3 linked regions of the Arabidopsis thaliana genome follow. The protein of the gene in region 2 interacts with the protein of the main gene of each other region in a pairwise test. Each region holds a gene or a part of one and is shown on either strand. Other genes may lie near its edges. The genes, in order: GDU2, LUL2 and GDU3.

Region 1 (3,116 bases), on a different chromosome or scaffold from region 2:
TGAATGTCGATTTTTCCACAATTATTGTTGGTTTTCCAGTTTTATTGGCATCATTTGCGAGCTCGTTTGTTTTGACACGTTCACATAATAAACATAGTAGGAATTGGACAAGAAAACGAAAGGACGTAAACACATGACACAACCAGTGACCAATTGCCCATACTAGAAAAACAATTATTCAGTTAGTTGCAGTAGTCTCCATCCATTATATGTGTCACTGTTCACATTGTACTGATCATCCAAAAGACGACAATTTATTGTCCAACGATAAACGATAATGCTTTCAATTTCAGTGAATGGTAAACAATGATAAATGGATATGCCTGGAAAAGAAAAAAAGAGAGAAATGTATAGTTGAGAGGCTATTTGTTCTTTGATAAAACTTGATGATATTTAGTAATATATCTAGAAATTTAGGAATAAAGGTACAAAGAGAATAATTCTCAACTTCGGTTCGCCACAACGAATTAGCTTAATATTCGGCATGCGTCATTGTTGGCACATCACTAGAAGTTTTCACAACACATCTCTTTCCCTCTTTCGTAAGCATCATGTCTGTACATCTCTCACTGGGAAAACATTTTTGTCTCTCTATACACGAAAACTGAATTAAGGACGCACGATTTTAGTTGTATCTTTTATTTATTTTGTCTGTCAAGCTTCAGTTCTATCTTTAATCGCTAGTCCAAAACAATCATCTATTCAAACTCTTAAAATTTACATGTACCGGATATTCCTTCATGAACCATAAACGGGAAAAATTTGAAGAAAACTGAGACAACCAAAAAAAAACTAAAACCATACGAAATAAATAAAACTCTAATTTATATCCCATCAGCTCACGTAAGGTTGGCGTAATTATGAACCGACACAAAAAGACCGGACGGATCGATTCCGGAGTACTCCGTAACGAATGCTCTGTTTTCAAAATATGAGGGAGGGCTCACCGTAACCTCCGGTGCTCTGCTATACCACCTGATCACTACCCTCTTCTTCCTTCTTCTTCGTTATGATCGCCGCAAGTACAGCTTTGCTCAGACCGAGTCGCTGGCGTAGCCAAGTAAGTAGGTCTGACATCACCGGCCATTATGACGAGAAACTTCTCCGGCATTTCTGTGTGCTTAGTTTTGTTGGTGTCATTGTCGGGTTTGGCATCATCTCCGGCCTCAAGATCTCTCTCAGCGGAGCCGGAGAGTCTCCAGTAGGAACATGCGAGGATGAGAAGAGCGACGCAGATGAGAGCCAACATGGCGGCCAAACCACCGAAGAGATAAGGAACCGGAGAGTGCCAAGGCGAGTGAGGCACCACCATGGAGGAGCTCGCGTTTATGCTGTCTTGGTAATTATATTGTCGTCCTTCCATTGTCTGCATGTGTGTTTTACTGTTTGGGAAGAGTGAATGAAATGAAAGTTTTCTTTGTTAAAAAAGTAATTAATTTATTGGTGGGAGATGAGATTGTGTTGTGAGAGGCGTTTTATAGAGGAACGTATGGGATGGATTGTTTCTTAATGCAATGGATTTGTGTATGGTTCAGTTTTCAGTATTTTTTTGGAATGTATGAAAAAAGTCAGTATTCATTATTTGTACTTTGTAGAGTGAGTATTAACGAAATTATTTTTTAGGGAATCATCTTCCATAATGGAGTAAACAATTGATTGGTTTTTGATATAGAGATGTAGTTTTTTTTTGCATTTATACTTACATGAATAATTTTTTAATCAACCTCAAAAATGATATTAGTTTAACGTGGTGGCTCAATGAAGACATTTGTAAAATCATGTATATTTCCTTCTTTTGGATGTTAATTTGAACTTGTATTAAGTTGGTTTTCTTATTTTTTTCATAATTGTTTTGTTTAATATATCCGTCTTTAGTACTTTAATAAAGTTTAAATTTTTATTGGTGGCTTTTAATTAATAGTATCTTTTAAATGCAATAATGGATAGAGGTTAATTAAAGTTAAGAATTATTTAATAATCTTGTTACGGCAATTTGCACATTAACCTAACTGTTGAACTAACTAACCTCTTTGTTTTGGCTAATCAGTTTTTATTACTTTGCTTAATTAGGTTAAACTCAAGATTTAATATCATTTAGGAGTTTCAACTCAAAACTATTTTCAATGCCATTTATACACTATATATGGAGTTCTTAACAATATGTATAAAACTGTAAGAACTATATACAGTAAAGGGTATTTAAAAAACTTCTGGTTAGATAAAGTAATAGAGCGAGTAGTGCAATTGGAGGGGTAGGTTCTCAGCGTCAGCTTCCACCATGACTAAAGGAAAAACGGATATTCCATTAGTTTCCAATCACTTTCACTTACGTTCTCCATTTCCACATTCTTCCTCTTCCATTTTCTTTAATTTCTTCATTCGTACTTTAAGATCATTGTTTAATGTGTCCACTAGTATTACAGTAAGCAATAATATATCATTACGTCAACTAAAAGGAATTTCTAAGGCAGAACCTTTTTTAAAGCATCCAAACCCCCAAACAATGTTATGTGCGGTTAATATGCCAACACAATCACTAGTCGCTTACATTAATCTTTGGAGATAAGTTTTACTTTTAAATCCCCTCACTGTGTATATATTAGTTTTAAATTATTATGTGTGTGGGCTGTATAATTTATTCCCTGATCCGACTTAAATTCCGGATTTGATTTGTGTTTGTGCATGAATCATAGGGAATCATATTCTCGTTAAATAGGCACGTTACATGTGAAGATAATGTATAAAATAAATACATATACCTAGGAACCCATTATTTAGTTTCTCGAACAAACAGATTAAGTACGATAATTAAATATTGGAGTTCTATTCTTCTTCCTTTCCGGTAATTATTCTGCCAGACCAATTAGAATCGGTATGTTGATTGTTGAAAAGATTGATTGATGGGTGCTTCATTTTGTGCTTGGTTAACAATCAGAATACTTGCCCTCTTTACTTTTATTTCTTTTGAAATTTCCTAAGAAATCGTTTTCGGTGTTGAAAGAATTAACAAAGGTTCCAAATATCTCAACTTCTCAAGTCAGAGATTAGCTTTCATGTAGTTTTTCAAATTGTGTTTATTTCTTCATCTAATTACTTTTAAAGGTGGCTCGTTCAGT
Region 2 (3,847 bases):
AAAAATCTCTTGAAGTACCTATTCCCATTCACCCACAGGACCTACTTCACGACTCGCCTTGTATGTATTCACCCTTATGATCTTTCTCTAAAAAGTATGAGTTATCTGATGGTTTGGTGTTCAGACTGTGGATGGATCATCTTCTGATCTGATGATGCATCTGTTTTCACTGCCACAGGATACACATGTGTCTCACTTACCTCGACCAAATCTGCCTCTGATAGAGAGGAGAAATCAAATTCAGTTCCACAAGCCTGCTTGAATCTCTCTGCCCAACCTTTTGGAAAACTAAGTTGAGTGGATGGGGAAACAGATCCTCCTTTGTCACAATAAAGTCACAGCCTTGGCCTTTGATCAGATCATATTGTAACACATATCCTGCCACTGGCAAGATTAGCCTTCCCAGTTTTCTTTGCGGACCAGTAGTAAATGCTTTATCTAGACGGTTTTGGTTGTTAATAAAAATGAAGAACTTTTTGAGACTTTAACCAATCAAATAGCATAAACGAGGGATGATTTGATACGAGGAGTGTGTGACATTTGTCACTTCATCCCTCGTGTCTACTATCCGATTGGCTATACTCTCTAAAAGTGCTGCTGCTGGTACTGCAAAAGTTGTTCACTTCATTAACAACGAAGACCGCTAGACAAAGTAGCATGATGATTTACAAAACACTTGGAAGTAAAACCCGGAATTTAAGTGTCATTTGGCATATGTAAGTTAGTAACTTGAGTTCTAATGCCTGCATATATACCGATACCACAAACAAGAACATTGGGAAGCAGTCTTTATATAAAAACAGGAGAAGAGTAACGTAGCAAGGCTCACTAGTTCCTGTCGTTGTTGTTCACTGTTATCTCCAAAAGCCTATCCACCGGTTGTCTACAGATGGGGCAGAGGTTTGTCTGAAACCTCAAAAGCTTTGCACAACCGCTACACATACACTACGAATCACAAAAACAAATATCAAAGTTAGCTATCAATCAAGAAAAAAGCCGTCTTCTTTCTCAAACTCTCTCTTAAGGATATTTATCTGCTTACCATGTGCCTGCAAGGGAGAACAGTGGTATCCCGTGGCTCAGATAAGCAGATGACGCATTCTTTTCCTCTTTCATTCGCATCTTCTCCATTATCATCAACTGTATTACCAATCCCATAAATCTCTTGAAGAACATACCTATTCCCATTCACCCACAGGATCTGCTTCACCACTCTCGCCTTGTACTCACCCTTATGATCTTTCTCTAAAACCACATGAGTTATCTGTCTGTTTGGTGTCCCAGACTCAGGATGATCATCTTCTGATACTACCTCTGCTTTCACTGCCACATGATACACATCTGTCTCGTTTGCCTCAACCAAATCTGCCTCTGACATATCTGAGAAATCAATCCCTGTCCCACAAGCCTGCTTGAATCTCTGTTCCAGACCTTTTGCAAAACTAACTTGAGTGGATGGAAAAAGATCCTCCTTTGTCGCAATAAGGTTACAGTCTTTGCCTTCTTTAGCAAAGAACATTACAGTGATGCTGTTGAATCAAAAACCATAAGAACTGAGCATCGATCAAACCTTCAACATCTAGCAATCACACAGTGAAAAGATGTCGAGCTGTATAAAACATTGATCATTACCTTCCAGGAACAGAGGCGTCAAAAGTGAAGGAGAGCAAAAACTTGCCAGGGTTCTGTTCATCAGGCTCAAGTCTCAAAGTTTCTTTCTTCAGATTGATGTCGTTCCTTATAGTCACTGCTTCCTGATGCTCTACGTATTGCACTGGAGACGCCATCTCTCCATACGGATACCTAGCACAATCTTGGTACGGCGACGGATAATTGCCTTGGTACTGAGCATTAGGGTTTGGATACGGCGGCGAAGTACGGTCCCGATGATTTTCCGGGCGGCTTCCACCGCTTATGACATTGCCCATGATCCAACTTTGCGAAATTGAAATTGCAAATCGATTACAAAAAGATGAAAGAGAGTGGGAGGAAGATGATCAGAAAAGCAGGTCAACTAACTTTGTGGGCTAAGATACAGGGCCACACGTATCGGCCCATATAAAATACCAGTTTTACCCTATATTTATTTCAACTCAAAACGATTACTTGCGCTCGAAGATTCTGTTGATCTCCTCTCTCCGCTGATAGCTCCATCTTTCTCTAAAGCTTCTCTCTTGTGTTACAGGTTCGATAATAAACAAGGTCGGATTTACCTGATCAAACGTTTGTAATGTGGGACAAACGTCGGAGGGGAGACACAACTTTTCAGGCATGTCCATTTCCTCCAAAATTTCCAGCACGGTGGCTCTGGCCAGAAGACTTACGAGAAGGTGTGTTTTGTCCTCTCACTCACAGGTGAAATAATTTACCAGCACAACAAGTTTTTCTCCTTCTTCTTTTTGTTTCCCACACAGATGCAACGGGTTCAGGAAGGTCTCGTCTACGGTTAATGAACAGAGGAAGCTTCGGGAGACGTGTATTAGATGGGGTGAATATGCCTTTTCTTGTACATTATGCGATGTTGTTTGCCAAATCTTTGAATTGTCCGCCAAGCATCTCCAGAGTAAACAACATAAATCGTTCGTAAGCATCCCAGCCTATTGTATCACTACATTCGTCATTTTCTTACTACTGTATGAGGTCCCTTTAGAAACTTTCTCGATATCAAATCTGATCTACTGGGTTTGTGACACTCAGCTCTTCCCGAGAGGTTCAAAACTCCATCAATTCTTTGAATGGTGCAGTAGTATCATCATTTCTCTTCTTCGCATAACAATTTATTCGATTAGTACTTCTTACAGTAAATGATCAAACATCTAACACATGTTTTACTTTCGTAATTAAAGGATTTGGATGGTAGGCAGTCTCAGAGGCTGAGGCTAGGCCACCAAGAGGCCAATTTTGAGCGGCCACACCTCTTCACGTTCTCATAAAAAATGCAGATTCTGAAGGGTAAGACTCTCAATCCTCAGCCAAGTTCGAGCATTTCCTATATGATTCATAATTGTCAAGTAACAAACGACTAAGTATGTTGAATCTTGAATGTAACAGTTTCTGTGAGCCTTTGAGGCATATGGGGTTAATGGACAATGGCGGTTTCAGAGAGTAACTAAAACTTACTGCTGGTGCACGCTAGGCTTTATCCGCCTGAGATGTATGAAGACATAAAGGAATGGTCTTTTCTAGAAAGATAATGATTGCGTTAAAGCAGAGACATGTGTTTCTCCAAAATCCTGCTTATTCACTGAGCATCTTGAGGAGGACGTAAACAAGACCAAGAACATGGCCCCATGGTGTTGTTATTCTCTAAGGAAACTAACTTTAGTACTAGTATTAATGTAAACACAACGCATAAGAACCTCTTTGATTTCATTGATTATAATTCCAATCACTCGTTTAAAAGCGAAAGAAAAAACAATTACACCGAAGGAAAATTCACAAAAGAGCAAGTGGAAAACACAAATATAAGAAAGGGAAATGAAAACTGCAAGTGACTGATTTAGATTTGTACAGAGAGATCACAACTTCATTTATTCTTGAGAAATCTGGTTTGATGTGTTTAGACGTTGGCAGCACTTCTGAATGATCCAAGAGACTTAGAACCTGAAGCTCTCAGAACGAATTGGTGGTAGAATGCAGCTATCGCAGCTCCAATGAATGGTCCAACCCAAAATATCCACTGTTTGTAATCACCAAAATTTCAAAACATTATTCCCTTGTAAAAATGAAAAATATAGTTGAATGTAATGGAGAAACGTTGAGGTCTTACGTGGTCATCCCATGGCTTGCTCTTGTTGTAGATTACGGCAGCTCCGAAACTCCTTGCCGGGTTAATTCCGGTTCCGGT
Region 3 (3,747 bases), on a different chromosome or scaffold from region 2:
ATCGAACATCTTGATTACAAGTCTACGCAGCTCAACATATATCGTTAAATTGATAAAAATACTCTGTTTTGATAAAACAAAACTATTTGTTATGCAACAAAGAAGAAGAGGCAAAAGATTGACGGTTATTCATCAAAGTCTAGTTTCTGAACTCGAATATTCACTATTAATAGTTGGTAATCCATTTTCATTAGATGAATGTATAAATAAAGAATCCATAGCTTTAAAGTAATATAAAAAAAAAGAAACCTAGCTAGGGCTACAGCCTACAAGATAAGATTGAAAGGGAAAAAAGAAAAGAGACCTAGTGCAGTTAAAAGTCATTTTCGAAACTTATAAAATATTTTCCTGATAAGAATTATGCTATAGGAGATTAATTACACGATTAGGGTCGTTGATTGAAGCTAATTTTAACTGCTTCACCTCGCCGCATCAATTTAGAGACACCTAAGAGAAATTAAATCAGACATTCTTCTGCATGTGCCTTCACACGTGCCTGTAGTCCTCACTTCAATTTTCTCACCTGAAGAATCTTTTGATATTTTCTCTGTTTTCTTTTTTGTTCGGACCACAATTGTCACATTAATCCCACGAAAAAACATGTACTGGAACAGTACAATTTTTTCATCATTTAATCACCTTTTTTTTTTGGTGAATTTTTAAAATAATCAAGATATTTTCATTGAAGTCTCAGATAGTTATTTGTTTTTTCATTCTCAATTCCATAAATCACAAATTTCACATTCAAAGTCTCAGAAATTTACATTTTATCCCTCATCATGACCTAGATATGGCACAAAACTTACAAAAAAAAAAAAAACGAATTAACGATGCAAAAGGCAAAAGCTAAGATTTTTTAAATACATCATTGATCAGAACAACTCCTAATAATTCAATCCCAATTCCAATTTTTTCCAATATTACTCATCATCAAGTAGAGTTATGATCCAACCCGAATACCCGACGCAACCGGGTCAGATGCTGCAAACAGTTCTTCAGAACTGTTCACAATAAGACGATCCTCTGTTTTTCTCTTCCCTTCCTCTGGTTTTGTCAATGTGTCTCACCGTTACTTTCACTACTCCGCGGCACCACCTGATCACTTCCCTCCACGTCATCATCTTCATCGTCATCATCGTCACAAGTACACGTTTTTACCGACGGCGTTGCTAAGTAAGTAGGTTTGACATTTCCGGCCATAATCACCAAGAACTTCTCCGGCAAAGCTACAGGCTTCACCGCCGTTTTGTCAGGTTTCACATCTCCGACTTCAAGATCTCTCTCTCTGCTCTGGTTTTCCTCGCCGTCTAGATAACCGGAGAGACGCCAGTAAGAGCAAGCGAGGATTAGAAGAGCAAAAGCTATGAGACCAAGCATCGCTGCTAAACCACCAAAGAGATAAGGAACCGGTGAATGCCACGGTGAGTGAGGTCCTCCTCCCATGGTGGTTCTGTTTCCTTCAACGTTTTCTCTCGGAGGGTAATATTGTCTTCCTTCCATTTTTTTTTCACAAAGATGGTTTTGAGTTTTGAGTTTTTTTTTTTTTTAGGAAAATGTTTTGGTGTGAGGAGGAAGATGAGTGAGGAAGGGTTTTATAGAAGAGAAGAAGCGAATTAACGTTGTGGATTGTGTGTGACGTATCAATTTTTAATTTTATTATTTTGCGTATGAGATTCTTTTTACTTCTGATTTATGGAAATTTTTCTTATTTATTTATGTATTTGTATGTAATGAGTGAGTTGGAGAAAAAAGCAATATGAATTCAGTTTTTATGTTTCTCAGTTATCATGAATGATTATATGGAGTCGTGACGTGAGTGCATAACTTATGTTATGTCTTATTTTTGCCGTTTGCTAAAGTAATCGAGATGGTGTGTACAAAAGGATTAACCACTGAATATATATATAATTTGTAAATGAAAAAATAAACATTTAACAAGTTTTCCTATGATTTCCAAACATATTTTTAAGAGAAAATTCTTAATTCAATGGTAAACTTTTTTTTTTGGCTGTTGAGATTTACCATACTCATTTTTTTTTGTCCGTTTTGAGTCGCTTACCAACATAAAAGATAACTAACATATCTACTTTTTTCTTTCTAGAGTAATGTGTGTATGTGTTTTACTTAGAAGTTTACATAAATAATCGACGTTCACATTCACAGCAATAGCATTTTAAAAATGATTGGTAACATTTATAATCTCAGCAAGGTTAAGGGTTTATATATTTCAAAAATTGAAACTACATGCTTTACAGAGGAATGTTATGTATAGTTAGCAAGCCGTGTAATGATGAGCTTCTGTTGGTTTAGGTGCCGGTGATTAGTTGGGACCCAATTAATGTGGTCTGTTTCTTAATCAGTATTCCTTACTACTTTTTAAGCTTAATCAGTGGATAATTTCAAAAAATATCTTCGATTCTATCATACTCCAAGGAATTATAATATTAGTAATCATTTATTGTAACACTTAAACACTGTTTTAGATAATTAACAACCATTCACATAGTGTCGAATCCACTCGAATAAAATATAGTATGACTTTACAGAAAATATCTGCTGAGTGGTTATACTCTCTACTAGTACAGCGTAAGATCAACATCTACTTGGCTAATAATTATTTTTCTAATTTACAGTGGAAAAGTGAGACATGAAAACATAAGAGTCATGAAAATGATGAATTTTTTAACTAGAACAAAAAAACCAATGATTGATGGCTAATAGATAAAGAAACACTCTGAAGAAGAAAGAGGGTTTAAAAGAGGCAATTAAAAGGGGAATAAGATAAGGACAAGAGACTGACCAAAAACGGTTCCGTTAAAGCCGCTAAAATTTAGGTGAGCGATGCAAACGTGAAGAGATAGCCGGAAACGTAATAACCGTTAACGCCAAACAAGTAAAGTGAACGTTACCTAAAACAACTAAAATTACATGTTTGTTTAAATCTTCTTACTTCGAGTTCCACTATACATATTTATAACCAACTTTATTGTATCTCCAACATATTGATATATATGCAAGATATGCATGATTGTTAAAGAGCAAATGAATTCGTATGAGACCTTGAAACTCGGCAAAGCAAGAACAACAAGACTCACACTCGCTCTCAATAATTTTTCATGCTGTATTCATATACATAATTAATTAACTACTATATATAGACAATTTTTTCACATATATACAGCATAAAAAATAATTATGATAGGTATATATATATATATATATATATATATATGTTATCATATTTCATCGTGAACTGTGAACACATAAATATAAATGAAAAAACAGACGGTAGCCCACCACCACCATAAATTGCTTTTAACAAGTGACTATTGATTTTATCATATATAAAAAAATCCACTATGCACCAAAATCATCATTCTAACAAGAACATACCAAATTTTACGTTTTTAAAATATTTTAATGATATATTAGAGGAGTACAGAAAATTTTATATATCATCAAAAAGGAAAGTGGGAAACCCCAATGAAAAAAAGCTGGAAACAACATACCAAACCATATGCCTGAGGTCTCAATTATCTCATCAATGATAATTTTAAAAATTATAGATGAGATAACAAAAATGGTCCCATGTTTTTGCACAGTCTATTTGGATCAAAGTTTATTTGGTCAAGTTCCTATCATTTGCTTTTTCTCGATTAGTCAAACACATTGAGAAAACGATTAGAACAATTGAAAACAACTCACACTTTATGATGTTAAAATTTTGTTTCAATAGTTTGTTTTACT

Evidence for each region.
Region 1: the proteins of LUL2 (region 2) and GDU2 interact in a two-hybrid assay, tested with the Arabidopsis thaliana proteins (one study listed by BioGRID).
Region 3: the proteins of LUL2 (region 2) and GDU3 interact in a two-hybrid assay, tested with the Arabidopsis thaliana proteins (one study listed by BioGRID).

The regions. Positions count from the first base shown.
Region 1 is NC_003075.7:13,114,405-13,117,520, reverse strand, and holds GDU2 (glutamine dumper 2), read right to left. Parts: upstream 1,494-3,116; 5' UTR 1,373-1,493; coding exon 983-1,372; 3' UTR 566-982; downstream 1-565. UniProt on the Arabidopsis thaliana protein: Probable subunit of an amino acid transporter involved in the regulation of the amino acid metabolism. Stimulates amino acid export by activating nonselective amino acid facilitators.
Region 2 is NC_003074.8:19,800,347-19,804,193, forward strand, and holds LUL2 (RING/U-box superfamily protein), read right to left. Parts: upstream 1,983-3,847; 5' UTR 1,929-1,982; coding exon 1,633-1,928; intron 1,530-1,632; coding exon 1,043-1,529; intron 946-1,042; coding exon 829-945; 3' UTR 605-828; downstream 1-604. Other genes in the region: PIP2A (plasma membrane intrinsic protein 2A), read right to left, coding at 3,560-3,679, 3,770-3,847.
Region 3 is NC_003076.8:23,365,303-23,369,049, forward strand, and holds GDU3 (glutamine dumper 3), read right to left. Parts: upstream 1,762-3,747; 5' UTR 1,501-1,761; coding exon 1,054-1,500; 3' UTR 503-1,053; downstream 1-502. UniProt on the Arabidopsis thaliana protein: Probable subunit of an amino acid transporter involved in the regulation of the amino acid metabolism. Stimulates amino acid export by activating nonselective amino acid facilitators.